3 linked regions of the Caenorhabditis elegans genome follow. The protein of the gene in region 1 interacts with the protein of each later gene in a pairwise test. Each region holds a gene or a part of one and is shown on either strand. Other genes may lie near its edges.

What was found.
Region 2: the proteins of ced-4 (region 1) and sun-1 interact in binary tests that used the Caenorhabditis elegans proteins (3 or more experiments, as listed by UniProt).
Region 3: the proteins of ced-4 (region 1) and mac-1 interact in binary tests that used the Caenorhabditis elegans proteins (3 or more experiments, as listed by UniProt).

Annotation. Positions count from the first base shown.
Region 1 is NC_003281.10:4,847,216-4,857,826, forward strand, and holds ced-4 (Cell death protein 4), read left to right. Parts: upstream 1-5,109; coding exon 5,110-5,560; intron 5,561-5,611; coding exon 5,612-5,705; intron 5,706-5,750; coding exon 5,751-5,838; coding exon of another isoform or gene 5,839-5,840; intron 5,841-5,958; coding exon 5,959-6,093; intron 6,094-6,143; coding exon 6,144-6,481; intron 6,482-7,038; coding exon 7,039-7,314; intron 7,315-7,362; coding exon 7,363-7,468; intron 7,469-7,514; coding exon 7,515-7,742; downstream 7,743-10,611. Other genes in the region: nonu-1 (Smr domain-containing protein), read right to left, coding at 1-11, 60-355, 411-777, 1,113-1,399, 1,449-1,635, 1,689-1,882, 2,055-2,165, 2,214-2,379 and 1 more; F26A1.1 (Non-structural maintenance of chromosomes element 4), read left to right, coding at 3,323-3,325, 3,375-3,426, 3,473-3,541, 3,607-3,708, 3,762-4,270, 4,472-4,567; C35D10.8 (PH domain-containing protein), read left to right, coding at 8,121-8,125, 8,221-8,359, 8,405-8,518, 8,568-8,717, 8,765-8,857; C35D10.7 (ULP_PROTEASE domain-containing protein), read left to right, coding at 8,988-9,014, 9,644-10,126, 10,172-10,226, 10,451-10,611. UniProt on the Caenorhabditis elegans protein: Component of the egl-1, ced-9, ced-4 and ced-3 apoptotic signaling cascade required for the initiation of programmed cell death in cells fated to die during embryonic and postembryonic development.
Region 2 is NC_003283.11:13,188,624-13,198,522, reverse strand, and holds sun-1 (Sun domain-containing protein 1), read left to right. Parts: upstream 1-4,984; 5' UTR 4,985-4,995; coding exon 4,996-5,377; intron 5,378-5,423; coding exon 5,424-5,527; intron 5,528-5,570; coding exon 5,571-5,774; intron 5,775-5,818; coding exon 5,819-6,238; intron 6,239-6,285; coding exon 6,286-6,597; 3' UTR 6,598-6,821; downstream 6,822-9,899. Other genes in the region: col-159 (Nematode cuticle collagen N-terminal domain-containing protein), read left to right, coding at 1-197; F57B1.9 (G-protein coupled receptors family 1 profile domain-containing protein), read left to right, coding at 600-701, 748-891, 1,164-1,287, 1,335-1,464, 1,512-1,683, 1,733-1,885, 1,936-2,019, 2,068-2,232; F57B1.1 (G-protein coupled receptors family 1 profile domain-containing protein), read left to right, coding at 2,875-3,000, 3,274-3,417, 3,473-3,596, 3,640-3,769, 3,815-3,995, 4,040-4,192, 4,239-4,322, 4,379-4,528. UniProt on the Caenorhabditis elegans protein: Involved in centrosome attachment to the nucleus. Required for zyg-12 localization to the nuclear envelope. Together with pot-1, it is required to anchor telomeres to the nuclear envelope in embryos.
Region 3 is NC_003280.10:13,312,198-13,322,809, reverse strand, and holds the start of mac-1 (Protein mac-1), read left to right. Parts: upstream 1-1,898; 5' UTR 1,899-1,900; coding exon 1,901-2,031; intron 2,032-3,590; coding exon 3,591-3,791; intron 3,792-5,648; coding exon 5,649-6,319; intron 6,320-7,918; coding exon 7,919-8,956; intron 8,957-9,966; coding exon 9,967-10,150; intron 10,151-10,202; coding exon 10,203-10,269; intron 10,270-10,612. Other genes in the region: Single-stranded DNA-binding protein homolog sam-10, read left to right, coding at 214-273. UniProt on the Caenorhabditis elegans protein: Probably together with ced-9, plays a modest role in preventing ced-4 and caspase ced-3-mediated apoptosis.

The sequences.
Region 1 (10,611 bases):
AAGGTTTCTAGCTAAAAAATATGAATATTTTTGGCACAAAATATTTCAAAAAATATTACCAGCTTTCAAATGATATTTGACTGCTTCAATCGCTTCTTTCACAAGTTTAACTGCTCCATCAACTGACATGTAATGTAAATCAAGAAACCATGGATTGTTGTGGGCTTCTCGAATTTTCCGATCAAGTTCTTTCACTTCCGATGATTTTTCAATTTTCATTCGTGACGCTCGATCGACAATTATCAATTGGCGATATTTCGCAGCAGCCATCGAATTAGAAGATGTGATGCGATCTGCTTCGATTTTCTGTCGAGTTCTAATGGCAAGCAATTGGATTTCTTCCAATTGGGAATGTCTGAAAATGCGAAATGTTAGAATTTTCATTTTTAAATGTTTACAAACTGGCTAACCTTCCACTTCTTTTCTTTAGGAAATGATTTTCCTCTTCTTTCTTCGATTTTTTCGGCAACGAAAGACGAAGTGGACTCGGTGAAGACGCAACTTTTTTACTCCATGTCGGTTTCGGTTTCAACTTCACCGCATATGTATTCTCTACTTCGCCATTACTCAAAAGAATTTCACGAGTAAAGTCCACTTTTCTACCAGCGATATTATACGCTTCACGGACTACTTTTTTATTAGTACCCGGAAATGATTCCTCTAGATTTGCAATGTTGAAATAATCCTCTTCGATCAAATCATTGTCTCCATTTTCGTCGTTCATTTCAGAGTGCAAGAGGAGTGCGATTTGTTCATCATTCTCGGTATCGGGATTATCTGAAAATAATTTTATATTAGGGAAAGGATTTTGAAATATTAAGTGACGTTTCTAAGGGGTTATGTCAAAAAAAAACTATGTTATTAAAATAACTCTTTTTTTAATTTAAAATCGATTGATTACAGGTTGGGGTGATTATACCCAAAAAAATAACTTTTAGATACGTACAATTTTGCGTACTTTAAAAATGTTTCCACAAATAGTTATGTTGATAGTTATGTTAATTAATAATTTTGTGCTGACTATAAACTTGAATCTCTGCGGTTTTTAATTTTTCTACATTCTGGAACAAGGAAAATTCGTAGTTATTTTCATTCGATTCTGCAAAACTTACACATTTCTTCCACAAACTTGAGTGCAAGTCTCTCAACTCTTCTAGCTTCAATTTCTTCTTCAATAGTCATATTTGAAACAGTGAAGCTCTCCAAAGCTTCAATCTCATCGAGAAGAATTCGTTCGTCAACTGGAATTTCTCCTTCAATGAATTCTTCGCCGAGATTATACATCAAATTGAACGTCTTCTCGAATCCAAGAACTTGAAGATAATGACGAAGCTCTATAATATCCATTTTACTGAACACGTGACGAAGCAATGAAAATGCGATTTCGTCAGATGTACCGCTGAAAATTGACTTCTCGAATTTTGTTTGAATTTTTGAAAAATACTTACACTAAAAGTTGAAGAGAAGGTTTGAAAACAGTTTCCCCATATTGAGATATCTCAAAACTCTCCGTTTCAGTTTTTCTTTCAACCATACGAACTGGTCCTTTCCAAATACTTGAAACATTATGTTCTTCACCAGAAAAAACACCACAATGTTTGAATACCGAATCAAAGCCTGCCAGTCCGTAGGTAACTGAAAATTGTTTTATTTTTAGTTGGATAGTTAAAAAAAGATTTTAAACTTACTACACTGAACGTCTACTTGAGTACCGACACTTCTCATTGATTTAACTTTGATTTCAGGAGTCATTGAGAATATTTGAGATAGTGAGGATGTGGATGAAGTTGTCGATTCTGTCAGTGATCCTTTATTGACTGAACTGATTGGTGATTTACACAGGACACTGGTAATCTCCGTATCGATGTGGAAATTTGAAATTCTGAAAATTGTATTTTTAATGTTCAAATTACACGCTTGCCAAATATATTAAAATTACGTGGTGCCAGAGTGTTCAACATGGTCAAAAGCGTGCCACATCACTATTCTATGGTTTAAAAAAACTTTAGATGAAAATGTGGGAAAGCCTGACACCAACTGAGCTTTTGGCTTACTTTACTGAAGCTTCTCCACCAATTACTAAATGTTCCCAGCCGAGTTGATTTTCTTTTAATTGCATGATTTTCGACTCGATAGACCCGATCTCTTCATCTTTTTCGCTTCTTCTGTAAAATGAAATATTTAGAAGAAAATTCAGGAATTAAAACTCAAACTTTTTGCATTCAATTGCATCGTGTCTCCAATCCGTGTCCGGCTCCAACACGAAAATTTCGTAGTGGCCATTAACCGCTAACTCTGCGAATTTTTTAACACTTGATCGTTGTACGTTCTCCTCGTCTACAACGATAAGATGTTTATCTTCATCGATAAATTTTCGCACTGAAATTAATTTTTATTATGTACACAAACAATGTTTAAATTAAATACCTGATCTTGTTATATTATTGGAAACATCGTTTTTCACAATAACGCCGTTTTCGGAATGGTTTACCAACTCTCGAGCTAATGTTGATTTTCCGGATCCCGTAACTCCGCGAATTAAAATAATTGTGCGATGACCTTCGACAAGGCATTTTTGAATATCCGATATCTCAGCATCGAAATTAAAACACTGTTCATGCTTTCGTGGTGACATTGTTGGCTGATCACTGAAAACTTTTTTTCATAAAACGAGTGATAGATTTTTAATAATGATTTTTCAGGCTTGCGTCGTCTATCACGTGAAATTGGGGAGAGCAAGACGCAGAGATGGAAAGAAAACTGGGTAGAAGTCACAATCCACGCACACTTCGTGAAGACATATGAATTGTGGAAAAGGACGTGTTAAAGCCCGTCCCCTTTTTCAAAATGAAAGTTATGAAAATGTGTCGAAGTTTCGACACATTTTTTTTTCGCGAAACAATGTTTTAATTATGAATAAAGAAGGAATCTGGGCGCAATATATACAAAGCCGGTTATTAGACACCAGAGCTTTATTGTTGCTTTCATTTTCTACCGATGGGTCTAAAATACAGGAAAAAGGAAAATAAAACATAAAAAAACCATTTCAAAATCATAAAGTTTACACTTTTAAATTCAAAAAATAAACAAAAATGTGTTTCTGTGCAAACACTCGACGGCTTATGGTACCAATGCACCTGATTTGACGACGATTGATATTCCCGGCAATTCGAATTGCAAAGCGGAGCAGCTTGCTCTTTGTTTGCTTCATTTAAATAATATTTTATAACTCTTCACTTTTTCTAACAATTACTTTTTATAAAACATTAAAGTTCCGATAAACATTTACAGCTGTCACTCAATTAACCTATAACAATCCTGGATGGTGAGAGACTAGTATTTTAAAACATTTTTAATTGAATATATTATTCCAGGACGTTGGAATTGCGAGTACATCTAACACAAACGATGTGGAGTTTGACGATGGTATATATTATTGATTAACATTCACATGATAATGGTTTTCTTTCAGATTTCATCCGACATGCTCGTCACATGCCGATCAATAAATTAATTGAAGAGCTGGCAATGTTGGAACACGGTAAACCAGCTGTCAAGATTATCTTTTATTGATTTTATTTTAATTATTAAATTTAAATGTTTCAGACAATCATCCACTTTTACATACTGCTCGCCGGAACTTCGATAAAGATAGAAAAGTCCAGAAGGATCGAATTGAGTGCCATCGCGCGAGAGCCGAACTAAAAGGTATCTTTTGAATTGTTGAAAACTTTGAAAAGCTCAAAATACAAATTCTTTAGCAAAAAATGATTTCAATACAAGAAGTGCCGCAGATCAAGCAGAATGCACATTGCGGTTAACGGAATTGCTAGACGAATTCACGAAAAGGAGTGATGAAATGGACAAAACAGTTTTGCATGAATACGGAGTCATCGATATTCATAAACAACAGTCAGCTCCGCCTGTGTTCGAGTCCAACAAGAAAACTCTGCGAGGACGTGGAGGAGGACAGCTTGTTGAGCCAGTCACTTACTTCAATTCAAATCAGAATACTCGAATACCTGAATTCAAGCTGAATTTGTCTTTCGAAAATCCGAGAATTCGACAAGAGTTGGATATTATTATGAATCGGCCGAATTCGCGTCGAATCATTGTCTGTTCGGTATCGATTCAGAAACCGAAACTTGTGATCGATAACAAGTCATTCAAACACGGCGAAGATGTCTATGCGTATAACAGAATATTTGGAGAAATGCTCGCAAAACTCGAAATTGTCACCGATAAAATGATTAACTTGAAAGGGGCTAATGTAAGTTATCTGATGTTTCTACAATTAAAAAAATTGTTTTTTTTTCCAAATTAATTTTCGAAGATTAACGAAAAACGATTAAAAATCAATAAAACGCAATAAAGAGGGCTTGGCTTTCTTTTTAATTTAAATTATAATTTTTCTGATTGTTGTATGAAGCTACAAAATGTACTGTTTTTGTATTTGAATATTGTATTACAGGGTTGGGATTCTCGGCAAATATCAGCGACAGTGGAAGATTTAGAAGAAGGACGTGTGACAATCACTAAGCAAAGAGGAAAGGATAAAGGATTGTGATATTTCACTGTTTTACTCATTCGCTTTTTAAATAAGAACTATATGCCGATTTGCCGATATATTTTTGTTTATTAGGCCTCTCACATTCCTGTACAATGTTTCTACCAAATAAACTGCATTTTTATCTGAAAATTCGAATTTATTTTTGTCTACTTTTTACTCGTTGCATTCGAGATCAGCATATCTTCCGGTCTATTTATATTCAACGATTTTTATAAATTAGTACTCCTTCATGTTTAATTTCATTTTATCTGTAAGCTTTACTGTATTTTTTTAAAATCTTTCTTGCTTCTATCTGATTATACAATGTTCTTTACTCATTTTCAAGGTATTTTTATGCCTCACAATTTATGCACATTTCGGGCTTGGAGATTTATCCTCTATATTACATGCCTGTTTTTTTAAAGTGTATATAATGTTTAACAAATAATTTTTTATCAATGCTATTGTATATTCTCCAGCTAACCGTTGTTTCGAAAACATCACCTAGCATTTTAAAATTCACAAAATCTTGCTTCCTTATAATCAAGAAGATTTTTCAGATGCTCTGCGAAATCGAATGCCGCGCTTTGAGCACGGCACACACGAGGCTCATCCACGACTTTGAACCACGTGACGCATTGACTTATTTAGAAGGCAAAAACATTTTCACAGAAGATCATTCTGAACTTATCAGTAAAATGTCAACTCGCCTCGAGAGGATCGCCAATTTTCTTCGAATCTATCGACGTCAAGCTTCTGAACTTGGACCACTCATCGACTTTTTCAACTACAACAATCAAAGTCACCTTGCTGATTTCCTCGAAGACTACATCGATTTTGCGATAAATGAGCCAGATCTACTTCGTCCAGTAGTGATTGCTCCACAATTTTCCCGACAAATGCTCGATAGGAAACTATTGCTTGGGAATGTTCCAAAACAAATGACATGCTATATTCGAGAGTATCACGTGGATCGAGTGATCAAAAAGCTCGACGAGATGTGTGATTTAGGTGAGAAAACTGGAAGCTCTCGTGTTTATTATAATCTTGCTTAAACTTCAGACTCCTTTTTTCTGTTTCTACACGGCCGAGCTGGATCCGGAAAATCAGTAATTGCATCACAAGCTCTTTCGAAATCTGACCAACTTATTGGAATGTGAGTGGTATTATCTGAATCCTACGGATCTTCATTCTATTACAGAAATTATGATTCAATCGTTTGGCTCAAAGATAGTGGAACAGCTCCAAAATCTACATTCGATTTATTTACGGATATTTTGCTGATGCTAAAGTGAGTGAATAGAGTGCATGTAACATTCAGCATGATTTTGAAATTATGAAAATTTGACCTGGTTAGCTTTTAATTTGATATTTCGTGACGCTTGCATGTTTTGTGTGTTTGAAGACGAGCCCGTGTTGTGAGCGACACGGATGACTCGCATTCGATCACCGACTTCATTAACCGTGTTCTTTCAAGAAGCGAAGACGATCTTCTCAATTTCCCATCGGTGGAGCATGTCACGTCAGTTGTACTCAAAAGGATGGTAAGTTGCTTGCCGATTCTGGTACAATATCTTAAATTATTGGTTTTTAGATCTGCAACGCACTCATTGATCGTCCAAATACTTTATTCGTATTTGATGACGTAGTTCAAGAAGAAACAATTCGTTGGGCTCAGGAGCTACGTCTTCGATGTCTTGTAACTACTCGTGACGTGGAAATATCAAATGCTGCTTCTCAAACATGCGAATTCATTGAAGTGACATCATTGGAAATCGATGAATGTTATGATTTTCTAGAAGCTTATGGAATGCCGATGCCTGTTGGAGAAAAAGAAGAAGATGTGCTTAATAAAACAATCGAACTAAGCAGTGGAAATCCAGCAACGCTTATGATGTTTTTCAAGTCTTGTGAACCGAAAACATTTGAAAAGTGAGTGGGACATACCAATTTGAGACTTTTAAAATAATTTATTCTACAATAAAAGTTAATCAAAAAGTTTCATAGCTGATTGTCTTTAAATTTTACGAATTGAGGATCAAAATCAAGAATTAGGATCCTGGCACGAGAGAAAACTGTGTAGCTACCGTACCCGAGAGATTTTCTTGATATTTGCCATCGATTTAATTTTTTAAGAAAATTATCGTTTTACATAATTGAACAAGAGATACACGGTCTCGACCCGACGGAAATTTTTTAAATGAAAGCGAGTATGAGCCTGTTTTCATTATTTTTCGATTTTCTCTTGTTGTTTCTTTTTATTTAAAGCCTTTTATTTTGAAACAAGTCTAAAAATATTAAAAACTGAATAAAATATTTAAAAAAAATCAAGTAAAATAGAAAAACAGCAAGGCTGGAGACTACTGTACTTCTTAAATCCGCATACTCTTTTTATTTAATCATTTTCCGGAATGTCGAAACGAAATAATACATTTTTAGTCCAAAATCGCTAGGTATATTCTTAAAATTATCAAACATTTTGCATTCAGAATGGCACAGCTTAATAACAAATTGGAAAGTCGAGGATTAGTCGGTGTTGAATGTATCACCCCTTACTCGTACAAGTCACTCGCAATGGCTCTTCAAAGATGTGTTGAAGTTTTGTCAGATGAGGATCGAAGTGCTCTTGCTTTCGCAGTTGTGATGCCTCCTGGAGTTGATATACCCGTCAAGCTATGGTCATGTGTTATTCCAGTTGATATTTGTTCAAATGAAGAAGAACAATTGGATGATGAAGTTGCGGATCGGTTGAAAAGACTCAGCAAGTATGAGTCTTGAAATTTGAAGATTTAAATTAACACTTAAAATTTCAGACGTGGAGCTCTTCTCAGTGGAAAACGAATGCCCGTTTTGACATTCAAAATTGATCATATTATCCATATGTTCTTGAAACACGTCGTTGATGCACAAACTATCGCCGTATGCTGAAAATGTCTCAACTTTCAATTAAATTTTAAATTTTCAGAATGGAATCTCAATTCTCGAGCAGCGTCTTCTTGAAATAGGAAACAATAATGTATCAGTACCGGAGCGACATATACCATCACATTTCCAAAAATTCCGTCGTTCATCAGCCAGTGAGATGTATCCAAAAACTACAGAAGAAACTGTGATCCGTCCTGAAGACTTCCCAAAGTTCATGCAATTGCACCAGAAATTCTATGACTCCCTCAAAAATTTTGCATGCTGTTAAAACCTATCGTGTACAATATTGCCTGTATATTCCCCTCGAAATACGTTTATACTTTTTCGCACGAGTTTTCTCATTTTTTCATTTGTACTTGTTTTATTTCTCTCCAAAATTTCAGATCTATCCCAAATGTTCTTAAATTTAATGTTTTCTACAGATACTCAACACATCTTGTTTCATCTCATCCTTGCTTTTTTTTTTCAAATATATTCAGTTTCTTTTATAATTTTAATTAATCGAATTAATACATTCACGTAAAGAATTTCGTGGACTATTATTTTATCGCATCCAAATGATTTATTCCCTATTGTTCGAAACTTCCAAATTGATCATTTTTAAACACGCCTCATTAAATTGAAAGTCGTACTTTTAGTCTCGAACATGAAGTAAGTTATTTTCTGTGTTCTAAATTCAAAGTGCATTCCAAAAGGACATTTGATGAGTTTTCACGAAAACCGTAATTTTTACAATTTCCTTTCAGTTTTGAAGATGTTCGATTTCTTTCCTCTGTTGGCGTCATTACTACATTTGCTTTGCTGCTTCACTTTATCGAGATTCTTGCCATCAATGGAGTTCCATCTAGACCGATAGCAGTCTTCATATCATTATCCCTGTATATTGTACTGTTTCAGTATTTTAACTTATCGATTACGTACTATTTTCAGTGGTTCACTGTTTTCGGTCAATGGGTGACACGTGCTCGACGAGCAATTTTCAACGAACGCAATCTCCTAGTCACTTATCAACCAAGAGCCCTCACCCATGGACATCTCTTTGTGGTATTTGCATGATTCAACGAAGTTTTAGTCTTAAGATTCATGATTTCAGCCAGATCCGCCGACGCCTTGTCGTCTGTCCATTACACCATGTGAATCGGGAAGTGACACGGAGTTCAAGAATGCACGGGATGCTCATTACAAAGATGAATTTCATAGAGCGATTAAAATGGCAAACGAACGACTAGTAATTCGACAAGAGGTTCAAATATTATTTATTTACATTTTTAATACTGGAAATGCTTTCAGAGTACCCAAATCATGAGAATGGAATTCAATACTGATACAAGCTCGCCACCAACATCTCCGGACAAGTCAGAAAAATCACCCGAATTCTTCTAAGATTGACTTCAATAAAATTATTATTTTTCGTTTTGTTGTTAGATATACCATTTTAAACAGTTTCGGTCTGAAAATATCGGAATGTTGGTCTTCTTCTTTCATTCTTATTTACTATTTCAGGCGAGAAATCATGCACCAAAATAACGGAGATTATCGGGTAAATAATAATAAATGTTTACTAAAAGCTACAGTACTTTTGCATCCTTCAAGGGAGGTGCATTCATGCGGAAGAGTCTCGCAGCGAAAACGCGATAGCGCTTACTGTAGAATTTCAGTTTGGAAGATTCGAGTTTTTTGGGCCTCCATTTTTCCTTCTTTTATTGAATTTTCTCAGTTTCTTCGGCAAGGTTCATTAAGTACAGTTAGCCATCAATTTTTCTATTATTATGTTCATTCTGAATGAATGCACACGCTTTCGAAAAGAGATAAGAACATTTATTTCAATTACTCTGCAGGAAGGTAGAATCAATGCAAGTGAAAGCGCGCGAAACATGTGTTTTCAAAATCTATGACGAAATCTCTATGTTCTAGGTGTGGAAACCCGCAGTTTCTTTTAAACAAAAGTTAATATTGTTGTTTTATTAACACCCCCTTTGAAATTTAACTCGGTCTACCCATTTTCCTACACGACTTTGCTTCTTTTTGTTAATTTTTCTGATTTTTTAGCATTCAAGAGAGCCAGTTAACATTTTTAAAACTATTTGGTATCTATAGTTTTTTCCAAACAAATATTCTCATCGTGTAAAAAATTTTCTCATTGAATTCTAAAGCTTTGATGTTTTTCAGGTCAGAGGATCTCGTCCATCGAGAAGTTCTGAGCACGCCGGCCCTTCTCTCCACTGCAAGAAGCCCGAAGGTTCCATTAGAGATACTCTTCGACTGTCTGGCAGCTTCAAAATCTACAAAGAGCCTATGCCGGAACTGGTATGTGACATACACTTGGAAAAGCTTGCGGAAAACATCCAAAAGTATTCGAAAATCGAAGAAAGGAAATACAGAGAAAACGATATGCATGTGAATGACGATTCACATAGTTCCGATAGTAGACCCACATCGGATAATGAAGTTAGCTCGAGCTCTGACAGAAATAACGATGAACCAAGTGTGCGGAGAAAGAGAAAATCCGTCGAGAATATGTGTCATGAACGAGAGCACCACGGGGATCATTTACAGATGCAAGTAGCTTCAGTGATTGCATCGAACCTGGGACCCATGGTGGAGATTGTGGAAAAGAAGCTCTTGCAACACAAAAATGCGGAAAAACTTTTGGTAAGCAACTGGAGTAAACTTGATTACTGAATATTTCTTTTTCAGAACGATGGCCGGGAAGTTTTCATTAAAACGTTGGAGGAACATAATCAGAAAAAAGGTATTGTGATAATAATAACATTTATTTGTCTCTGTAATAGCTATAGTGGGTGTCAGATGCTTTACATATTTTTGATTAATTTCTTTAAAGGCTCATTGTAGGGAGACACTTTTATTTTGATGATAGGAACTTTTCACAGCACATGTGCCTTCCATGTAGCTTTAAAAAATATGTTTCCACTGATATATAATCTTCCGCACTTTTTTATCTAAAAATAATTTCAGAAAAGGTTGAAAGAAAGGCGAAGCTCGTAGCAATACCACCAATGAAAGCTAGAAACAGGAGGTCTTCACGCAATAGCTTGGTGTACATAGATGGTCCTTCTACTTCTGAAAGTCATTCTTCAATGGTTCAACAAGTTCCCATCATCGACAACATTCCCGAA
Region 2 (9,899 bases), on another chromosome or scaffold:
GACCAGCCGGAGCCCCAGGACAGCCAGGACAATCTGGATCCGGTCAACCAGGAGGTCCAGGACCACAAGGAGATGCCGGAGCTCCAGGAGCCCCAGGACAACCAGGACAAGCTGGAGCCCCAGGACAAGACGGAGACAGCGGATCCGAGGGAGCTTGCGATCACTGCCCACCACCACGTACCGCCCCAGGATATTAAATGTTTTTTTTTTGTTTTTTTTATTTCCAACATCTTGCTTTATCCATTTTTGCAAAGTCATCCTGATAGATTAGAATGAACATGACAATCTGCAATTTGAACATAAAAACAATACAATCGTAACACAAAGTCAACGAAAGTGTAATGAACGTCATTGGATCAAGCGTTCCAAAAAAAATTATGATGCAGATTACACTAAACACGAAACTAAAGTTGTATTATTGACATTTGTTCGTAGAAAAAACGTCAAGACATTCTCATTTTAATCATTATAAAAGGCAATAACGTGCTCAGGCGCGAAAATGTTGATTTCCAGCTGCTTTTTCATCTCTCACGAAATCAACTTTTAGTTAGTTTTCTAATACTTACTGAACTCACTTTTTAATCGATTAATCTTTTGAAATGCTTTCGATTGTTCTTTTGTTTGTTTTTGGAATATTAGCAAATGCTCATCTGCAATCTTCTGATGGAGTTTCACCTCCTAAAAGTTCACCGCTTGAAGAGGTAATTTTTTATTTATTGGAAAATAGGTATAACTAGTAAACTTCAGGTCGATGCAGAGATTCCTCCTGAAGATAAGAATTTTTTGTATTATTTTATTATTGCAACGTTCACAGCCTCGACAATCATTTCCACATTGCTAACTGGAGCATTTCTTGTTGCATCGGTGATCCTGTGGAAGAGATTCAAACATGTAAGATGAATTTAAACTCAGGAATAGTTTGCAATGAGTTGGTTTTTCACAAAAGTGAGAATCTTCTATTAACTTGGGATTTAGCGACATCTTTTGATATAACGTGGCAAGGATTACCAAGTTTTCCCAAGTTTCACCCATTTTTTGTCTTTCTCACCAAGTTTTTCTTGTGTCTTTTTTATCGGGCATAAACGATGCAAACTTCAAAACTAAGTTTTAGAAAGGTTCTGCCGATATTAAATTTTTGACAGTTTCCAATTTGATTGTTTCAGATGAAATTTTTCTGGTTTCTATGTATGCTCACATTGTCTATATTTATTATTTCAATTCTCAATCTTCTCATCAATGTTCCTGCAACATTATTTTCTCTCTTAACCAAAGATTTTGTGAAATCAGGTATCGAAACGTTTTGTGATCATCAATTGTTTCTTTTTTTCTTCCAGAAGCGTTTCTTCTCATTTCCTATATCATAGACATTTGCCATTACACTATTCTTTTTTGCAATCTGGTGATCGCAGTTCAGAGATGTTTCGTTTTCTTTTTTCGAAACTTGGCGGACAGTGTCTTTGACACGTAAAAACAATGTCAGAGTTGATCATATGAACTTTGAACGCTTTCAGGCCATTTATGTATGCGTGGATGATATCTGTATATCTACTTTCACTATTGGTAGTGTATGCTATGATGTATAATAACTGCCGCTATAGGTATTCACTGAATGTTCTACATTATGAACTTTATTGTCAGACAAGTGCAGTTGTCAACTTGCCGCCACCAAAAGCAATCTCAATTGTAAACAGAGAAATTAGCTTCTGAACCACTTTAAAAAATATTATTTCAGATGGAAATAGTGATCCAATTTGCAATTCCTTGTATAATTTTTGGGATCTATATTGCACTTACAATCAAGATAATGATAATGAAACAATCATCACTGAAATCAAGTGAAATCACCATTTTAAAGCAAGCATTCTTCGTATTCTTTGTTTTTCAAGTAATCAAACATTACCTAGCTATCCCATTTAAATCTATTCAATTTCACAGGTATCTTCTGTCGTGTTTCTTCTTTGTCAAACGGTAAAATTCGGTGTGGCTACTGCATTTCTTATCAAACGAGTTATCAATACGGTTCGATAATAACTTTGAAAACTTATTGCATTGAACTTGTGATTTCAGATGGAAATATTAGCTGGTGCGGCGACGCCTTGCTTCTTTTTCTTCACTTCAAAAGAAATTAAAAAGATGGCATCAGTTAAAAGCTCTATGAATAATTCTCAAGCTAGTTCGAATATAAGACTTCGGAATGTGTCAAGTATCTCTGCTCTTGGATCGGTCGCATGATTCTTCTATTTAAATTCTCAAGAATTGGAACTATAACTTTATACCACTATACCACTAACATATGTTGTAAAGGGGACTAGTTTTAAAATCTTAAAACGTGTAGAAATGTACTTTTTAGCTTTCTAAATAAATAATATAAATCAGAAAATATATCATGCAATTCTTTTCTGGAATAAAATTTTTAATCATAAACTATTCTGACCACTGAAAAAGTATAAAAATTTCGTTCTTAATAATTTTGGTTCAAAGCAGAAAAATAATCCTCCTTTATAGGAAAAAATGGAACAATTATTTAATATTTTCAATTAATGATTGTTAATTTTTTGGGCACGTAGAAAAATCCAATATGTGAAACGTTTAATTCGGAACGTTAACGCTTGTGAAGTGTGGCGCTCCAGAGCTCAATTGGGTGGAATGTCTAGTTTCAACTTATCTACACAAAATATAACATTCAAAACAATTTTATTCAAAGTGCTACTTGATATTCATCCAATTCCTAATCTCGTCATGATCTCACATCAAAGCTGAAAATTTCATCTAGTCATGTGTTGAGTTTTTGAAATTAATTGATTTCTTGACTCCACCTGCTTTTCAGTTTTCCAAAATAATCAGCGTACTCAATTTGTTGAGTTTATGAAATCTATGTTTCTTCTACTCTACTTTTTGATATTTTTAAATGTAGTATATGGACAAGGAGATGATCCATTTTCTAATGACTTTATTAGAAGAAAGAATTTATCTGATTTAAAAGACACGGTTCTTGGAGAGGTCAGTTGGTCTAAAATCTATTTTCAAATTATAATATTGGTGAAACCTGAATTCAAAACTTTTTTCATCTTTTAAAATTTTGCAAATATCATTTCTAAACTCCAATATGTTTTAGATTGAACTTTGTTAAAATTTTGGTAAATTACCACAACTTCAGCTTTTCAAAAAATAATTCGAAAAATTTCGCTGGTATTCAGTTTTGAACCAGTTGAGCTTGAAAAAACACTAGCTGAAATGAAATAGTTGTCGCAGATTAAATGTTTAACTTGTAAGGTAGCTGGTAACATTCCACCAGAAGATAAGGATGGGCTCTATTATTTTATTATCACCTTGTTTGTTATGTCCACATTTGCATCAACTATTTTGACTGGAGTTTTCTTGGCTCTTTCTGTGATCCTTTGGAGCCATTTCAAAAAAGTAATGAAACACGTTTTACATAACTTTTTCCAAGGAATTTATTGAAAAAATTCAGATGATATTTTTCTGGTTTTTAACTCAACTGACCATTTCTGTTTTCATAATGTCTTCTTTAAACTTTTTAATTAATGTACCAGCGACATTATTTGCTTTGATAACCAAGGAATTCGTTCAATCCGGTAACTTTTTTTGAATCAATTTTGAATCATTTTTTTTGTTCAGCCTCATTCTACTACATGTCCAATGTAATCGATTTCTGTCATAATGCAATACTTTTCTCAAACTTGATAATTGCAATACATCGGATGTTTGTGTTCTTTTTCAAAAAACACACGGATATTGCTTTTGAAAAGTAGGGAATTCTGAAATTTTTGGAATTTTAATCTACTAATCCCAGACCGATAACATACTTTTGGATGGGAATGGTATGGGTATTGTCTGCTTTTGTTGTAGTGTCTATGATTATGAATAACTGCCAATATGAATATGATGAACGAATTTTAATGAAACATTATGTTTTGAGTTGTGAAACTAGTAGTGGAATTAAAAATATTGCTCCACCGACAATTGTACAAACTGTAAGCACAATAATGAAAATATCCAGTCCAATAAACACTTTCAGATTGAAATTTTAATACAATTTATTCTTCCAATATTTATTCTGGGAATATATATTGCAATTATCATTAAAATAATTTTAATGAAAAAAGCAGCACTCAACAAATACGAGCTCACTATTTTGAAACAGGCGGTTTTTATATTTTGCCTATTTCAGGTCCTGTTTGATTTAAGAACGAAAAAATGAAAAAAAAAATTTCCAGATTTCATCGTCGGTTTTCCTATTATGCCAAACTATCAAGTTTGAAATAGCAACTGCATTTTTGATAAAACGGATTATTAATACGGTTCGTTTTTTTTTTAATTTTTCCATAGCAATCTTGAAAAATTATCCGTATTGCAGACTGAAATATGCGCTGGAGCTGCAACGCCGTGCTTCTTCTTTTTCACTTCAAAAGAAATTCGGAAACTCGTTTCTGTGAGAGTTTCTCTCACTACTTCACAAGCCAATTCAAACTCACAGCAGAGAAGGCAAACTTCGAGAGCGATTTAATTTTTATTACTAAAATCAGTTTCTAAAATGTTTTTGCCAATATTAGAATAAATACTCGTGTTTTAATGAGAACAAACTCTTCGCAAAAAATTTCTGTGCCTGCCAAATCATATTTACTGCTACAGTAACTTTCAAAGGTGCAATACGTCAGCGGTGAGGGTCTCGACGCGATCTTGAGAATTGCCGCAATCAGTGCGGGGCTGCTTGAATTCGAGGTTTCGATTTTCTGGTTTTTTTTTTCATTTTTCGAATTCAGTTCGGATATTTTTTGTTTTAAGACAAATATAAAGCATTTAAAAAGTTTATGCTTTGTAAAGTGCAGTTAAACTTCAATTAATTCATAATTATTTTAATTGAAACAACTTTCTCGCTCTTGAAAATATTGCATTGTTTCTTAATTTCCAAATTACAATTCCGCACAGGCTTTTTTCATTCAATTTCTTTCTAAACTTCCAGATCTACTCGGTATGGCGTTGCGACACACCATCTCACCGCAGTTTTCGAATCGCCACAGTCCTCCAGTTACCCGTTCTGTATCTCGAACAGGAGTTCATCAGCCGCTAGACACATCTACTCCAGTTACTCGGCGAGATTCCCAACCTGGAACGATTACAGGCACCATTCAGAGATTTCATGAGTCGGCTGACGATTCTGAAATTGATCTGAACTCTTCGAAATTTATTTACAAGGAGCATTTTAGCTACAAAGAAATCACTTCGATGAAGAAGGAAATGTGGTATGACTGGCTGGAATATCGCATTCGCATGGTTCGGCGTCGTTTTGTTCCAACGTGGGCCCAGTTTAAACGTACTCTTATGGCTGTTGTTCTTTTTGCTATGTTATACAAGTGTGAGTCGGGAAAACGTGTTGTGGGTATCTAAATGAATAATTTCAGATGCTCGTGATTGTTTATTCGATGGAACGCATCATAATTCAGAAGGATCCTACGCGGATAAAGACGCGAATTGGGCGTCCGAAAAACAGAAATTTCATCAGACGGTACAATGAATGAACAGTCAGAATAAATTTTTATATTATTTAGATTTCCAATCTCCGAGCAGAGTTTTCGGCGCACGATAAACAACTCGATTTCAAAACTGACCATTTGGAAAAACTACTGGAAAACGTTTTGGAACACAGCAAAGGATGGAAAGAGTCGGCAATCGAAGAGCTCAAACAGATCAAATTATGGCAAGCAGAAATTAGCGATGCTTTGCAACAAATGAAAAAGGAAATCGATGATGCGGTAATTTTCAAATTTAATATATTTTCCCAATGCTAATTTTTCAGAAAAGCACAAAGATCATCCACAGTACACCAGAAAAGGCTCCAGAGACCGCACCAACTGCATCGCTTCCTCCCTCTAGCCAGCTTCAACCAATGCACATAACACGCCGAGCACTTCTTGGAGTGAATGTTGCCAACAGTCTTATTGGTGCATCAATCGATCATTCTTGTTCATCACGTCCAGTTTCTGCAAAAGATGGATTTTTCTACGATTTCATGTCATACTTCGGAACGTTCCAGGAGGGATATGCTTTGCTTGATCGCGACGTTCTATCCCCAGGAGAAGCGTGGTGCACATACGATAAACGTGCGACCTTGACCGTGAAGCTCGCTAGATTTGTCATACCGAAAAGTGTCTCGTATCAACATGTCAGATGGAGCGGGATTGTTCCAAATCATGCCCCGAAGCTCTACGATGTCGTGGTAAGCTATATAAAAATTGTGTTCAGTAACTAATTATATATTTTCAGGCATGCACGGACTCATGTTGCACCAAATGGCAGCCTCTTGTCGCCAACTGTGAATATAAGGAACGTGATGGAAGTTATGACGAGCAAGAACAATTCTGTTCGGTGCCAACAATTCAAAATCACTCACCGATCAATCACGTGCAATTCCGTTTCCGCGAAAATCATGGAGATATGCCAAAGACATGTGCTTATTTGATTCGTGTTTACGGGGAACCAGTCGATCCACCAAAGGAAACGCAACCAATGACGGATAATGGAACTGAATCAAAGTTGGAATCTGCAATTGTTAACTCTGTATCAGAAACCGCATAGAAACGCCGTATTATTGTTCCTGCCCAACTTGTTTTTATATCATTTTCACGTTCCCCACTGACTATGAATCTCAATATTGCTTCTTTGAAATCGTTTGCAAATGTTTTGTCCCGCTTTACTATCCACGTTACCGTTTGTATTTCATTGCTTTATTCATTTTTTATTAATGTGTCATGTTCTGTTTATTTCTTGAAAGTTCTAATCTAAAGTTTCAAAGTTTTAAATTGTGTTCTGAATTTTAAGCACGAGAGCAGCAGGGAAGTGGTGATTACAAGAGAAAACTTCGCATCTGCTAACTAGGGAATGGTGTTACCCCTGCAATCGCTAGGAGGACAAAACAAACTTTAAATGACAGATGAGGTCTTTGGCTACAAAAATCATTTTTTGGAATCTGCTTAACTCTGCCCCAAAGCTGAAATTTTCGGCCTTAAAAAGTAGTCCTCTTTTTGCTCAAAGTGCCGTTTTCGTTTTTTTGAATTTTTCCTCTAGCATGAAATATGCACAAAAACACGGTTTCTTTCGTTTTTTGGTAACTTCGGAATAAATTTTTTGGTTCCTGGGAATCATAAAAGTAATTTGGAAACTTTTTGGAAGTTTTCTTTTTTTGATAAATTTTCACTTTTTTCCCACCTGATATATGCACATTTTTTTTCTTCAAAAATAATTTTTCAAAATTTTTTCAAAAAGTGTTTGGTTTGAAAGAGCAGCATTAGTTTGGATATTTCTACGATTTTGGAGGATCAAATGTCATTTTTAGGAGAAAACCACTGTTGTTTTCTCTAGAGTTTTTCACGAAAAGGACTTACTTTCAAAGACTTCCAGCTCCGTTGACGGGTAAAATAAAAAAAAGTTGTCAACTGCAAAGTTGTTTTAAAAGTACCAATAAACAAATTGTCAATTGAATTTACTCTGCTAACTTTAGCTTTAACTTACTAACGTAAGTTAAAGCTTCACTTCGATTAGCTATATCTCTTTACCCATAAAATTTAGCAGAGTAGATTCAACTGACAATTTGTTTATTGGTACTTTTAAAACAACTTTGCAGTTGACAACTTTTTTTTATTTTACCCGTCAACGGAGCTGGAAGTCTTTGAAAGTAAGTCCTTTTCGTGAAAAACTCTAGAGAAAACAACAGTGGTTTTCTCCTAAAAATGACATTTGATCCTCCAAAATCGTAGAAATATCCAAACTAATGCTGCTCTTTCAAACCAAACACTTTTTGAAAAAATTTTGAAAAATTATTTTTGAAGAAAAAAATGTGCATATATCAGGTGGGAAAAAAGTGAAAATTTATCAAAAAAAGAAAACTTCCAAAAATTTTCCAAATTACTTTTATGATTCTCAGGAACCAAAAAATTTATTCCGAAGTTACCAAAAAACGAAAGAAACCGTGTTTTTGTGCATATTTCATGCTAGAGGAAAAATTCAAAAAAAAATTAATACCTATTGGGGAACGAACCCGTGACCTTTAGATTAATGAGCACGAGAGTTCACCAATCGGCCATTCGAACGGCGGCTGCAGTTCCAAACTTTTATGTAGCCACTTCTACACACGAAAAACGGCATTTTGAGCAAAAAGAGGACTACTTTTTAAGGCCGAAAAGTTCAGCTTTGGGGAAGAGTTAAGCAGATTCCAAAAAATGATTTTTGTAGCCAAAGACCTCATCTGTCATTTAAAGTTTGTTTTGTCCTCCTAGCGATTGCAGGGGTAACACCATTCCCTAGTAAGATCAAATGGTGGTATTTTTTAGCAATTGTTAAACACTTGTGCCCAACTTTCGTAATTAGTTTTCCCTGATTTCAACTGTTAGTTTCAGAATTGGTGATTTCATAGATATTAATCAAAGTATCTACGAATGTTGTTTCTTTTTTATTGGCTATTGATTATTCCAACAGTTCCTGGAGAAGATGAAATATTGAATCCTAATAGTAAGACCGGAAGCCGTTTTGATACAGACTTTACTACTTTCAACAGCAGAGATATAAGCATCCATCGGAGAGGTAATGGGAATATTTTAATCCGGATTGAATAATAACCAAAAAAGGAATTGGGTGTCGTTTTTTTAGATAATTTATCAAAAAAGAAGAACAGGAAGACGTTCTGCGTGTAATTAAATATTATAGATTCGCGAAATTTTGTCATGTCTATTTAAAGGAACACGTAGTTTTTTCTGAGTGGGTCTCACCACGATCTCAGTCATCGTGGACTCTCCAGGCACCAAGTTTTAGAGAATTTCTCATTTAATGTTGAAAATGAAGTTTATAAATTTTGAAATTCTAAAGTGCATCTGGAAAGCCTTTTGCGAACATACGATATATGTTCATAGTATATCTAAACCTCAAAGTCTACGGTTTTACTCATCCAAGCAATAAATTACCCTACTTCTTAAAGAACCACTTTGTTTTTCGAATCTTTCAAAAAGTTTGGTCGCGCCGACACCAAAATTTCGCATTTTGGGAATGCAAACATTTCCGATTTTTAGATCACAGCAAATTTGCCACTAAAGGATAAAGATGTTATGTACTATTTTGTGATTTCTTCGTTTGTCTTGTCGTCTCTTGTTTCAACAATTTTAACTGGAGGATTTCTAGTCCTTTGTTTTATTTTATGGAGTCGGTTTAAACAGGTTAGACTAAAATCGTCATGTTTATTATGTATTCGGGTTCAGATGATATTATTTTGGTTTCTCACACAACTAACTTTTTCTGTATTCGTTATGTCATTTCTGAATGTTCTGATAAATGTTCCAGCAACGTTATTTGCAATGATAACAGAGTCATTTGTTCAGTCGGGTAACCGGAATATTCTAGAAATGTACATTTTGATATTTTACAGCTCCTTTCTTTTACATGTCCTGTATTATTGATTTCTGTCATAATTCTATACTCTTCTCGAACTTGACAATTGCAATTCATAGAATGTTTGTATTCCTTTTTGCAAAGGCTACGGGAAAAGTATTCAACAAGTACGTGGAGAGCCTCACAGTGATATGATTTCTATATTGACTTTCTGACAATTAATTTATATTTGGATGACACTTGTTTGGATATTTTCAGCATTCATTTCAGGATCCATGATGTTGAGTAATTGTAGATATGAATATGATGAAAAGTTGAAGCATTACTTTTTACAATGCACAACACCAACAGGAATTATTATACAAAGTGCACCTACCGTAATCCAAGTTGTAAGAACGTTTTGAACTCAAGTTAATTATGTTTGTACCATGCTAAACCATGCTTGCCAACGGCCCTTATCAAGCAGACAAGCCTATCTGCCTTCAAGAAGACTTTGCCCTTTG
Region 3 (10,612 bases), on another chromosome or scaffold:
GTGAAAAAAAAAAAAAATTGTACATTTTTCAAAAAAAAAATCGATTAAAATTAAATCCTTTTTTAAAATAAATTTAGACAAAAAAAACCTATTTTCTCTTCACATTTTTCGCATAACGAAAAACCTGTAAATTTCTGGAATTTTTACTAAAAACTCTGTAAATTTCCGAAATTTTCATTGAAAAATCGATAAAATCTCATTTTTTTTTTGCAGGACGACAATGGCGAAATTTCAAAAATACGAGAAGGTCTCCTAGATGGATTTTGTGCATAGTGTGAGAGCCACCACGAAAAACCTTCTTTTGTGTATTTTTGGTGCCAAAGGGTAGAAAAATTGGCATTTATTAATTTTTTTTTCATTTTTTTTGATTTCTTGTGGTTTTTGTACTCCCCTGCCTTAAAAAACGCCAAAAATGACCTATTTCGGTGATTTTTTATTCAATTAATCGATAATTTTTTTCAAATTTTTCAAATTTTTTCCCTACGTAAACTCTCAAAATGGTGCAATTTTCCCTATTTTTATTGTAAAATTTTTTTGAAAAAAAACATCTCACATCTTTTCCATATTCTCTCTCTGTTCCATCGAAAATCCCCCCACCGCGAACTGATCTTCAAAATTATTTAGCCCCTCAAAAATTCATTTTTTCTTTCTTCTAAAAGTCCTCTAATTTGCATAATTCTCATTGATTGTATATTTGTAAAACCCCCCTCCTACCCCCCTCACCACCACCACCAGCTTCATCATAATTTATTTATTAAAGTAGAGTTAATTGGCGGGATTTTGCTTCAAAAATTCCAAAAAAAAAAAAGACTAAAATTGTGAAAAAATCGCTTAAAAATTCAAATTTTGACTGAAAACTCAATTTTTTACTAAAAATTCAAATTTCCAGCAGAAAAATTCAAATTTTGACTGAAAAACTCAATTTTTGGCAGAAAATTCAAATTTTGACTGAAAAATTCAAATTTTGACTGAAAAATTCAAATTTTGGCTGAAAAATTCAAATTTTGACTGAAAACCCAATTTTTTACTAAAAATTCAAATTTTGACTGAAAAATTCAAATTTTGACTGAAAAATTCAAATTTTGACTTAAAAATTCAAATTTTGACAGAAAAATTCAAATTTTTGACTGAAAAATTCAAATTTTGGCTGAAAAATTCAAATTTTGACTGAAAACCCAATTTTTTACTAAAAATTCAAATTTTGACTGAAAAATTCAAATTTTGACTGAAAAATTCAAATTTTGACTTAAAAATTCAATTTTTTACTGGAAAATTCAAATTTTGGCAGAAAACTGGTTTTTTTTCAAAAAATTCCAACGAAAAAATCAAAAACTCTTTATTAGAATGGTCCGACCAATCAGCGCATCGCTCCGCCCACTTTTGGACCAATCAGCGCGTTCGAACGCGTTGATTGGTTCATAAAGTGGGCGGCGGAGCGATGCGCTGATTGGTCGGGGGGAGTTCTTATTTAGGAGGAAATTAGCCAAAATCGGAAATATCGGTTGAATTTTTCAATATTTTGGGATTTTTTGAAGCAAAAATCCCCTCAATTCACGCTACTTTTTCGCCTTAAAATTCAATTTTTTAAGAATTTAATGATTTTTTTTCCTAAACTAACCCCAAAAATATCCCAGTTTTTTCCCCAATTTTCTCAGATTTTTACTTATATTCCACCCAACTTTAACTTATTAAATATCCATACCCTACTAGATACGTTTTGGTGTCTTTTTGTCCAAAGATTTTTGAAAAAAATAATGTGCAAAAAATAAACAAAATAATTCATTTTTTAAAATATTCTTTCAAAATTTTTAATCCTAAAAATCAGTTGAAATTTCATTATATTTCTTTATTTTTTTTTTGCTCAAAAAAAATCGATAAAAAATCTGAAAATTTTTCAGAAATGCCTGGCGGAATGGGTTTTCCTAGTGATCCGGCACTTTTGCCACGTGTACAGGCTCACATTCGAAAGTTTCCCGGTACAAAATACTTTAAGCCGGAGCTTGTCGCCTACGATTTGCAGCAAGAGCATCCGTATGTGTTCTGGAAAAAAAATTGAGAAAAAACACGATTTTTCAGCGAATTTTGAGCTTTAAAATCGATTTTTTTGAATTGGAAAAAATATGAAAATTCACAAAAAATGGGAGTTTTAAGCTGAAAAATCGATTTTTCTGCAATTTTTTGAATTTTTAAAAATTAAAAAATTTGAAAATACCCATTTTTTAGGAAAAATGCGCAAAAAAATTTTTTCAGATATTTTTTGGATAAATATACAAAAAATTTGATTTTTTTTGAGAATAAATTCAAAAAAATTGATTTTTCGAGCTTTTCAATCGATTTTTTTGAATTTTTTCGGCAGAAAATTGTGAAACAAAACAGATTTTCAAGCGAAAAAGTCGATTAAAAATCAATTTTCACTAGTTTTAGAATAACATTTCAAAAAATACGAATTTTTAAGCGTAAACATCGATTTTTGTGCAATTTTTTGAGTTATTACACCAGAAAATTGTGAAAAATCAGGTTTTTTAACGAAAACAATTTTAAAAAAATTCGATTTTTCTTCAAATATATTTATTTTTTTAAAATATTTTTTTACCTCAAAATTTGACTGAAAAATTCAAATTTTGACTAAAAAATTCAAATTTTGACAGAAAAATTCAAATTTTTGACTGAAAAATTCAAATTTTGGCTGAAAAATTCAAATTTTGACTGAGAACCCAATTTTTTACTAAAAATTCAAATTTCCAGCAGAAAAATTCAAATTTTGACTGAAAAATTCAAATTTTGGCTGTAAAATTCAAATTTTGGCTGTAAAATTCAAATTTTGACTGAAAAATTCAAATTTTGACTGAAAAATTCAAAGTTTGGCTGTAAAATTCAAATTTTGACTTAAAAATTCAAATTTTGACTTACAAATTCAAATTTTCACTTAAAAATTCATATTTTTGACTGAAAAATTCAAATTTTGACTTAAAAATTCAAATTTTCACTTAAAAATTCAAATTTTGACTTAAAAATTCAATTTTTGGCAGAAAATTCAAATTTTGACTTAAAAATTCAAATTTTGACTTAAAAATTCAAATTTTGACTTAAAAATTCAAATTTTTGACTGAAAAATTCAAATTTTGGCTTAAAAATTCAAATTTTGACTTAAAAATTCAAATTTTGACTTAAAAATTCAATTTTTGGCAGAAAATTCAAATTTTGACTTAAAAATTCAAATTTTGACTTAAAAATTCAAATTTTGACTTAAAAATTCAAATTTTTGACTGAAAAATTCAAATTTTGGCTTAAAAATTCAAATTTTGACTTAAAAATTCAAATTTTGACTTAAAAATTCAATTTTTGGCAGAAAATTCAAATTTTGACTTAAAAATTCAATTTTTGGCAGAAAATTCAAATTTTGACTTAAAAATTCAAATTTTGACTGAAAAATTCAAATTTTGACTTAAAAATTCAAATTTTTGACTGAAAAATTCAAATTTTGGCTTAAAAATTCAAATTTTGACTTAAAAATTCAAATTTTGACTTAAAAATTCAAATTTTTGACTTAAAAATTCAAATTTTGGCTTAAAAATTCAAATTTTTTTCAGAGAATACCAACGAAAAAATCACAAAGTCTTTATGGGAATGGTGCGTGAAGCCTTGGAACGAATTCAGCTTGTCGCAAAAGAGGAAAATGACGAAAAAATGGAAGAAAAAGAGGCGATGGACGATGTACAGGAGATTCCAATTGTAAAAGCACTCGAGACACGGAAACGGAAGGCTCCGGCTGCTGGGAGGAAGAGCACAGGGTACGGGAGCGGAGAAATTCCGACGTTTGGGGCTCAAAATTCGGAGAAAATCGCTTCAAAATTAGAAATTTGGGGTAATTTTCACATTTTTCTGGTTTTTTTTCGGAAAAAACTATGATTTTTGGACAAAATTTCAAATTTTGACCGAAAAAATCGCTCAAAATGAGCTCAATTTGAGATATATTCCGAAAATTTCACAAAAAATAGTTATCTTATGAATTTTTGGTTTTTCGAGAGAGAGAAAACAAGGAAAATCACAAAATTTCACTGAAACAGTCGGAAATTTTCCGATTTTTCCGCATTTTCCGCGTCAAAAAGTGGCCCTAAATCGAAATTTCTATCGAAAATTGTGAATTTTCACCCCGAAAAATTCAAACTCCCGTGCCGTCAAAAACTCAACGTTGACACAGCTGAAGACGCTGCTACCGTAGTCCTTTTTGAATTTTTCCGATTCTAGTGTCGATTGTTTTTTTGTCAGCGATTTTCTTCGAATTTTCCGGAAAAATATACAATTTAAGCTATTTTCGGTCCTTTTTGCAACCAAAAATTGGAATTTTCCCTGATAATCGACAATTAGACCGAAAAATTCACTGAAATTCACTGAAAATTTCAATTTTCCATTAATATAGCTACCGTTTCAGTAGAAATCGAAAAATTTTACCACGTCTGCATAAAAACTCAGCCTTGACAATGTATCATATTTGCGTCCCCATTCGCCGAAAAACCATCTCAATCACCGAAATAACACGTAATAAAATGCCAAAATATGCATTAAAAGGCGACAATCATATAAAAATTAAGTTCCAACCGCTGCGACACCGAGAAGTTGCCAAAATTTGAGATTTTAGCTAAAATTGGGTCATTTTCTCCAAAACTTTGAGCGGTCATTTTTTGAGAAATTTTCAGAGCGTCTCATTACAAAATTTGTTAGTTTTGGACCATTTTGAGTCTAAAAAAGCAAAGTCTCAAATTTCACTACCCCACCTGTGTTAAAAACCAATTTTTGAAGTAAAAATTGGGGAAATATTCAAAAATCTCGCCAGGAACTACGGTAGCAGTGATTTAAGCTGTGAATAGTAACCGAAAATGATTTTTTTTTCTCAAAAATTTGAATCTCAAGGCTGAGTTTTTATGCAGACGTGGTAAAATTTTTCGATTTCTACTGAAACGGTAGCTATATTAATGGAAAATTGAAATTTTCAGTGAATTTCAGTGAATTTTTCGGTCTAATTGTCGATTATCAGGGAAAATTCCAATTTTTGGTTGCAAAAAGGACCGAAAATAGCTTAAATTGTATATTTTTCCGGAAAATTCGAAGAAAATCGCTGACAAAAAAACAATCGACACTAGAATCGGAAAAATTCAAAAAGGACTACGGTAGCAGCGTCTTCAGCTGTGTCAACGTTGAGTTTTTGACGGCACGGGAGTTTGAATTTTTCGGGGTGAAAATTCACAATTTTCGATAGAAATTTCGATTTAGGGCCACTTTTTGACGCGGAAAATGCGGAAAAATCGGAAAATTTCCGACTGTTTCAGTGAAATTTTGTGATTTTCCTTGTTTTCTCTCTCTCGAAAAACCAAAAATTCATAAAAGAAAACTGTTTTTTTGTGAAATTTTCGGAATATATCTCAAATTGCTCGGTTTGAGCGAATTTTTGTTGGTCAAAATTTGGTCCAAAAATCATAGTTTTTTCCGGGAAAAAAACCAGAAAAATGTGAAAATTGCCCCAAATTTCTCATTTTGAAGCCATTTTCTCCAAATTTTCAGCACCTTTAAATGAGAATTTACGTTGAAAAATCGAAAAAAAAATCACGTTACACTGAAAATTTCCCCGAAAAACGACCAAAATTTTTCAGCCAAGCCGCCGCCGCCAAGGAAGTAGTGCTCAGCGACGATAGCGAGGACGAACGAGCCGCCCGTCAGCTCGAAAAACAAATTGAATCGCTCAAAACCAATCGGGCCAATAAGACCGTCCTCAATCTCTACACGAAAAAATCTGCTCCGAGCACTCCCGTTTCTACTCCGAAGAATCAAGCCACAAAGAAGCCTCCAGGAGCTTCTGCTGCTCCACCAGCTCTTCCACGTGGGCTCGGAGCCGTCAGCGACACGATCAGCCCGCGCGAGTCCCACGTGAAATTCGAGCACATTGGTGGAGCAGATCGCCAATTTCTTGAAGTTTGCCGGCTCGCAATGCACCTCAAACGTCCGAAAACCTTTGCCACACTGGGCGTCGACCCACCACGTGGATTTATTGTTCACGGACCGCCCGGATGTGGGAAGACAATGTTCGCGCAGGCGGTGGCCGGTGAGCTCGCGATTCCGATGCTCCAACTAGCGGCGACGGAGCTCGTGTCGGGAGTGTCTGGAGAGACGGAGGAGAAGATTCGCCGGCTTTTCGATACGGCCAAACAGAATAGTCCGTGTATTCTGATTCTTGATGATATTGATGCGATTGCACCGCGTCGGGAGACGGCGCAACGGGAAATGGAGCGGAGGGTTGTTAGTCAGTTGTGCAGTTCGTTGGATGGTGAGGAGCACAACTGATTTATCGATTTTTTGAAGGGAAAAATCGATAAATCGATAATTTGAAAACTTCCGATTTTTCGGTAAATCGGAAAAACGAAAAATTTTGGATTTATCGATTTTTCGATTTTTCCAAACTTATCGATTTATCGATTTTTCCGAATTTTTGGATTTATCAATTTTTCCAAATATATCGATTAATCGATTTTACCAAATTTATCGATTTTTCGATTTTTCCAAACTCATCGATTTATCGATTTTTCCAAATTTATCGATTCATCGATTTTTCCAAGGGTTGTTAGTCAGTTGTGCAGTTCGTTGGATGGTGAGGAGCACTTGATTTAACGATTTTTTTGAAGAGAAAAATCGATAAATTGATAATTTGAAAACTTCCGATTTATCGATTTTCCGGTAAATCGGAAAAACGAAAAATTTTAGGACATATCGATTTTTTCAAATTTTTTTGATTTTCCCGAAAATTTGTGATTTATCGATTTTTCAAAATTTTTTTGATTTTCCCAAAAATTTGTGATTTATCGATTTTTCAAAATTTATCGATTTTTCAAAATTTATCGATTTTTCAAAATTTATCGATTTTTCCAAATTTATCGATTTTTCCAAATTTATCGATTTTTTCAAAATTTATCGATTTTTCCAAAATTTATCGATTTTTCCAAAATTTATCGATTTTTCCAAATTTATCGATTTTTCAAAATTTATCGATTTTTCAAATTTTTGGAATTATCGATTTTTCAAAAATTAAATTTTTTTGTGTCGATTTACGCAGCTTGTGTACTTCTCGAGGATATTTATTGCTTTTTTAAACGAAAATTTAGGATTTATCGATTTTCCGGCAATTTCGGTACTTGCCGATTTTCAAAGTTTCCTGCAATTTCAGAAATTGGCGGTTTTGGAAATTTCCGGCAATTTTGGAAATTTCCGGCAATTTTGGAAATTGCCGGTTTTGGAAATTTCCGGTAATTTCGGCAATTGCCAGTTTTTTTTTAAATTTCCGGCAATTTCGGCAATCGCCGGTTTTTTAAATTTCCGGCAATTTCGGCGATTGCCGATTTTTAAAAATTTCCGGCAATTTCGGTAATTGCCGGTTTTTAAAAAATTCCGGCAATTTCGGTAATTGCCGGTTTTTAAGATTTCCGGCAATTTCGGTAATTGCCGGTTTTTAAGATTATTTGGCGATTGCCGGTGTTTAAAATTTCCGGCAATTACAGCAATTAACGGTTTTGAAAATTTCCGGCAATTTCGGCAATTGGCGGTTTTTTTTAATTTCTGGCAATTTCGGCGATTGCCGATTTTTAAAAAATTTCGGCAATTTCGGTAATTGCCGATTTTCAAAGTTTCCTGCAATTTCGGTAATTGCCGGTTTTTAAGATTTCTGGCAATTTCACAAATTGCCGGTTTTTAAGATTTCTGGCAATTTCACAAATTGCCAGTTTTCAAAATTTCCGCCAATTTCAGAAATTGTCGGTTTTGAAAATTTCCGGTAATTTCGGCGATTGCCGGTTTTTAAAAATTTCCGGCAATTTCGGCAAAAAGTTTTAGACCACACCCACACAAGATGGCCAACAAATTTTTTTTGTTGCAGAACTGGTACTTCCACCACGCGAAAAACCACTCAAAGATCAGCTAACATTCGGAGACGACGGCAGTGTAGCCATCATTGGAGACTCCCCGACTGCAGCTGGCGCCGGTGTTCTCGTAATTGGTACCACCTCCCGACCGGACGCCGTCGATGGAGGACTCCGACGAGCTGGACGCTTCGAAAATGAGATTTCGCTGGGAATCCCAGATGAGACAGCACGGGAGAAGATTCTGGAGAAAATATGTAAAGTGAACCTGGCCGGTGATGTGACACTGAAACAGATCGCCAAGCTCACGCCAGGCTACGTTGGAGCTGATCTTCAGGCACTGATCCGTGAAGCCGCCAAAGTTGCCATAGATCGAGTCTTCGATACGATCGTTGTCAAGAACGAGGGACACAAGAATCTGACCGTGGAGCAGATCAAGGAAGAGCTCGATCGGGTGCTCGCCTGGCTTCAAGGAGACGATGATCCATCGGCTCTATCGGAGCTCAACGGCGGGCTTCAAATCTCGTTTGAGGACTTTGAACGGGCTCTCTCGACGATTCAACCGGCGGCGAAGCGTGAAGGATTTGCGACGGTGCCTGATGTTTCTTGGGATGATATTGGAGCACTGGTGGAGGTGCGGAAGCAGTTGGAATGGAGCATTTTGTATCCGATTAAGAGAGCCGATGACTTTGCGGCTCTGGGAATTGACTGCAGGCCTCAGGGTATCCTGCTCTGCGGGCCGCCGGGCTGTGGAAAGACCCTACTAGCCAAGGCGGTGGCTAATGAGACGGGCATGAACTTTATCTCGGTGAAAGGCCCTGAATTATTGAATATGTATGTTGGAGAATCGGAAAGAGCCGTCAGAACGGTGTTCCAACGGGCTCGAGACTCCCAACCGTGTGTCATCTTCTTTGATGAGATTGATGCTCTTGTGCCGAAGAGATCGCATGGGGAGAGCTCTGGTGGAGCACGGCTTGTGAATCAGTTGCTCACTGAGATGGATGGTGTCGAGGGGAGACAGAAGGTTTTTCTGATTGGAGCCACTAATCGGCCGGGTGAGCTTTAGGCAAAAAATTAGCTGAATGAAATCGGATTTTGGTTCAAAAAAATTCTAAAAATAAATTTTTGCCTCAAAAACAAAAAAAAATTATTTTTTTGCTGAGAAAAACACCCAAATTAATCAAATTTAAAAAAACCCCTAAAAATCAATTTTTTCCGAAAAAAAACCAGAAGCTCTATTTTTGCCAAAAAAAAAGTTCAATTTACCAAAAAAAAATTTTTTTTCGGAAAAAAAAAGAATGTACATTTTTGTTTAAAAAAAAAATTTTTCAAGAAAAATACTAAAAGCCTTTTTTTTAAGACAATTTTTTTGCCAAAATCAATTTTTTCCAGAAAAAACCTTTAAAAAATCAATTTTTTGTCAGAATTTGTCAGGATTTTTTTGTCGATTTTTGCCAAAAAACCAAATATACCAACAAAAAAAAAACACAGTTTTTTCGTCGCAAAACCGAAAAACATTATTTTTTCCAAAAAATAGTTCAATTTTCCAAAAAAAAAATGTTTTTCGGAAAAAAAAGTACATTTTTGCAAAAAAATTTCCCCAAAAAACCAAGTAACACAGTGCATATAATAAACCGCAAGATAAACTTTTCCCTAAAAACCCAAAAAAAATTTTCCGAAAAAACCACCAAAAATCTATTTTTGCCAAAAAAGAATCAAGTTTTGCAAAAAAAAACCCAAAAAATTCATTTTTTGCCAGTAAAATATCAATTTTGTTTGAAAAACCAATTTTTCCGAAAAAAACCCAAAAAAAATCTTTTTTTTTTCTAAAAAAAAACCAAAAAATCAATTTTGGTTAAAAAAAAAACGAAAATTGACAAAAAAAAACCAAAATATCAATTTTTCTGATAAAAAAAACAAATCCATTTTTGCTAAAAAAAAATCTCAAATAAAAAACGAAGAAATACAAAAAAATCCATTTTTGCCAATAAAAATCCATTTTTTCCTGAAAAAACCAAAAAAAAAAATTTTCCCGTTTTTTCAACACTATTTCCTTCCATTCCAGACATTGTCGACGCGGCAATTCTCCGTCCAGGACGTCTCGACAAAATTCTATTCGTAGACTTCCCGTCAGTCGAGGATCGTGTCGATATTCTCCGAAAAAGCACGAAAAACGGAACTCGGCCGATGCTCGGCGAGGATATCGATTTTCACGAAATTGCTCAGCTTCCAGAACTTGCCGGTTTCACGTGCGTCGAAATTTTTTTGGCAAAAAATTTTTAAAAATTTTGAAAATTTCAGCGGCGCCGATCTGGCGGCTCTCATCCACGAATCGTCGCTTCTTGCACTACAAGCCAGAGTTTTAGAGGTTTGTTTCGAGAAATTGGTGGCCGAGGAAAAATTGGTGGCCGAGAAAACGATTGGTGGCCGAGAAACAAAATTGGTGGCCGAGAAAAAAATTTGGTGGCCGATAAAAAAATTGGTGGCCGAGAAACAAAATTGGTGGCCGAGAAAAAAATTTGGTGGCCGATAAAAAAATTGGTGGCCGAGAAAAACATAATTGGTGGCCGAGAAAATAATTGGTGGCCGAGAAAAAAAAATTGGTGGCCGAGAAAATAATTGGTGGCCGAGAAAAAAATTGATGGCCGAGAAAAAAATTGGTGGCCGAGAAAAAATTGATCACCATTTTTCTCGTCCACCAATTGTTTTTT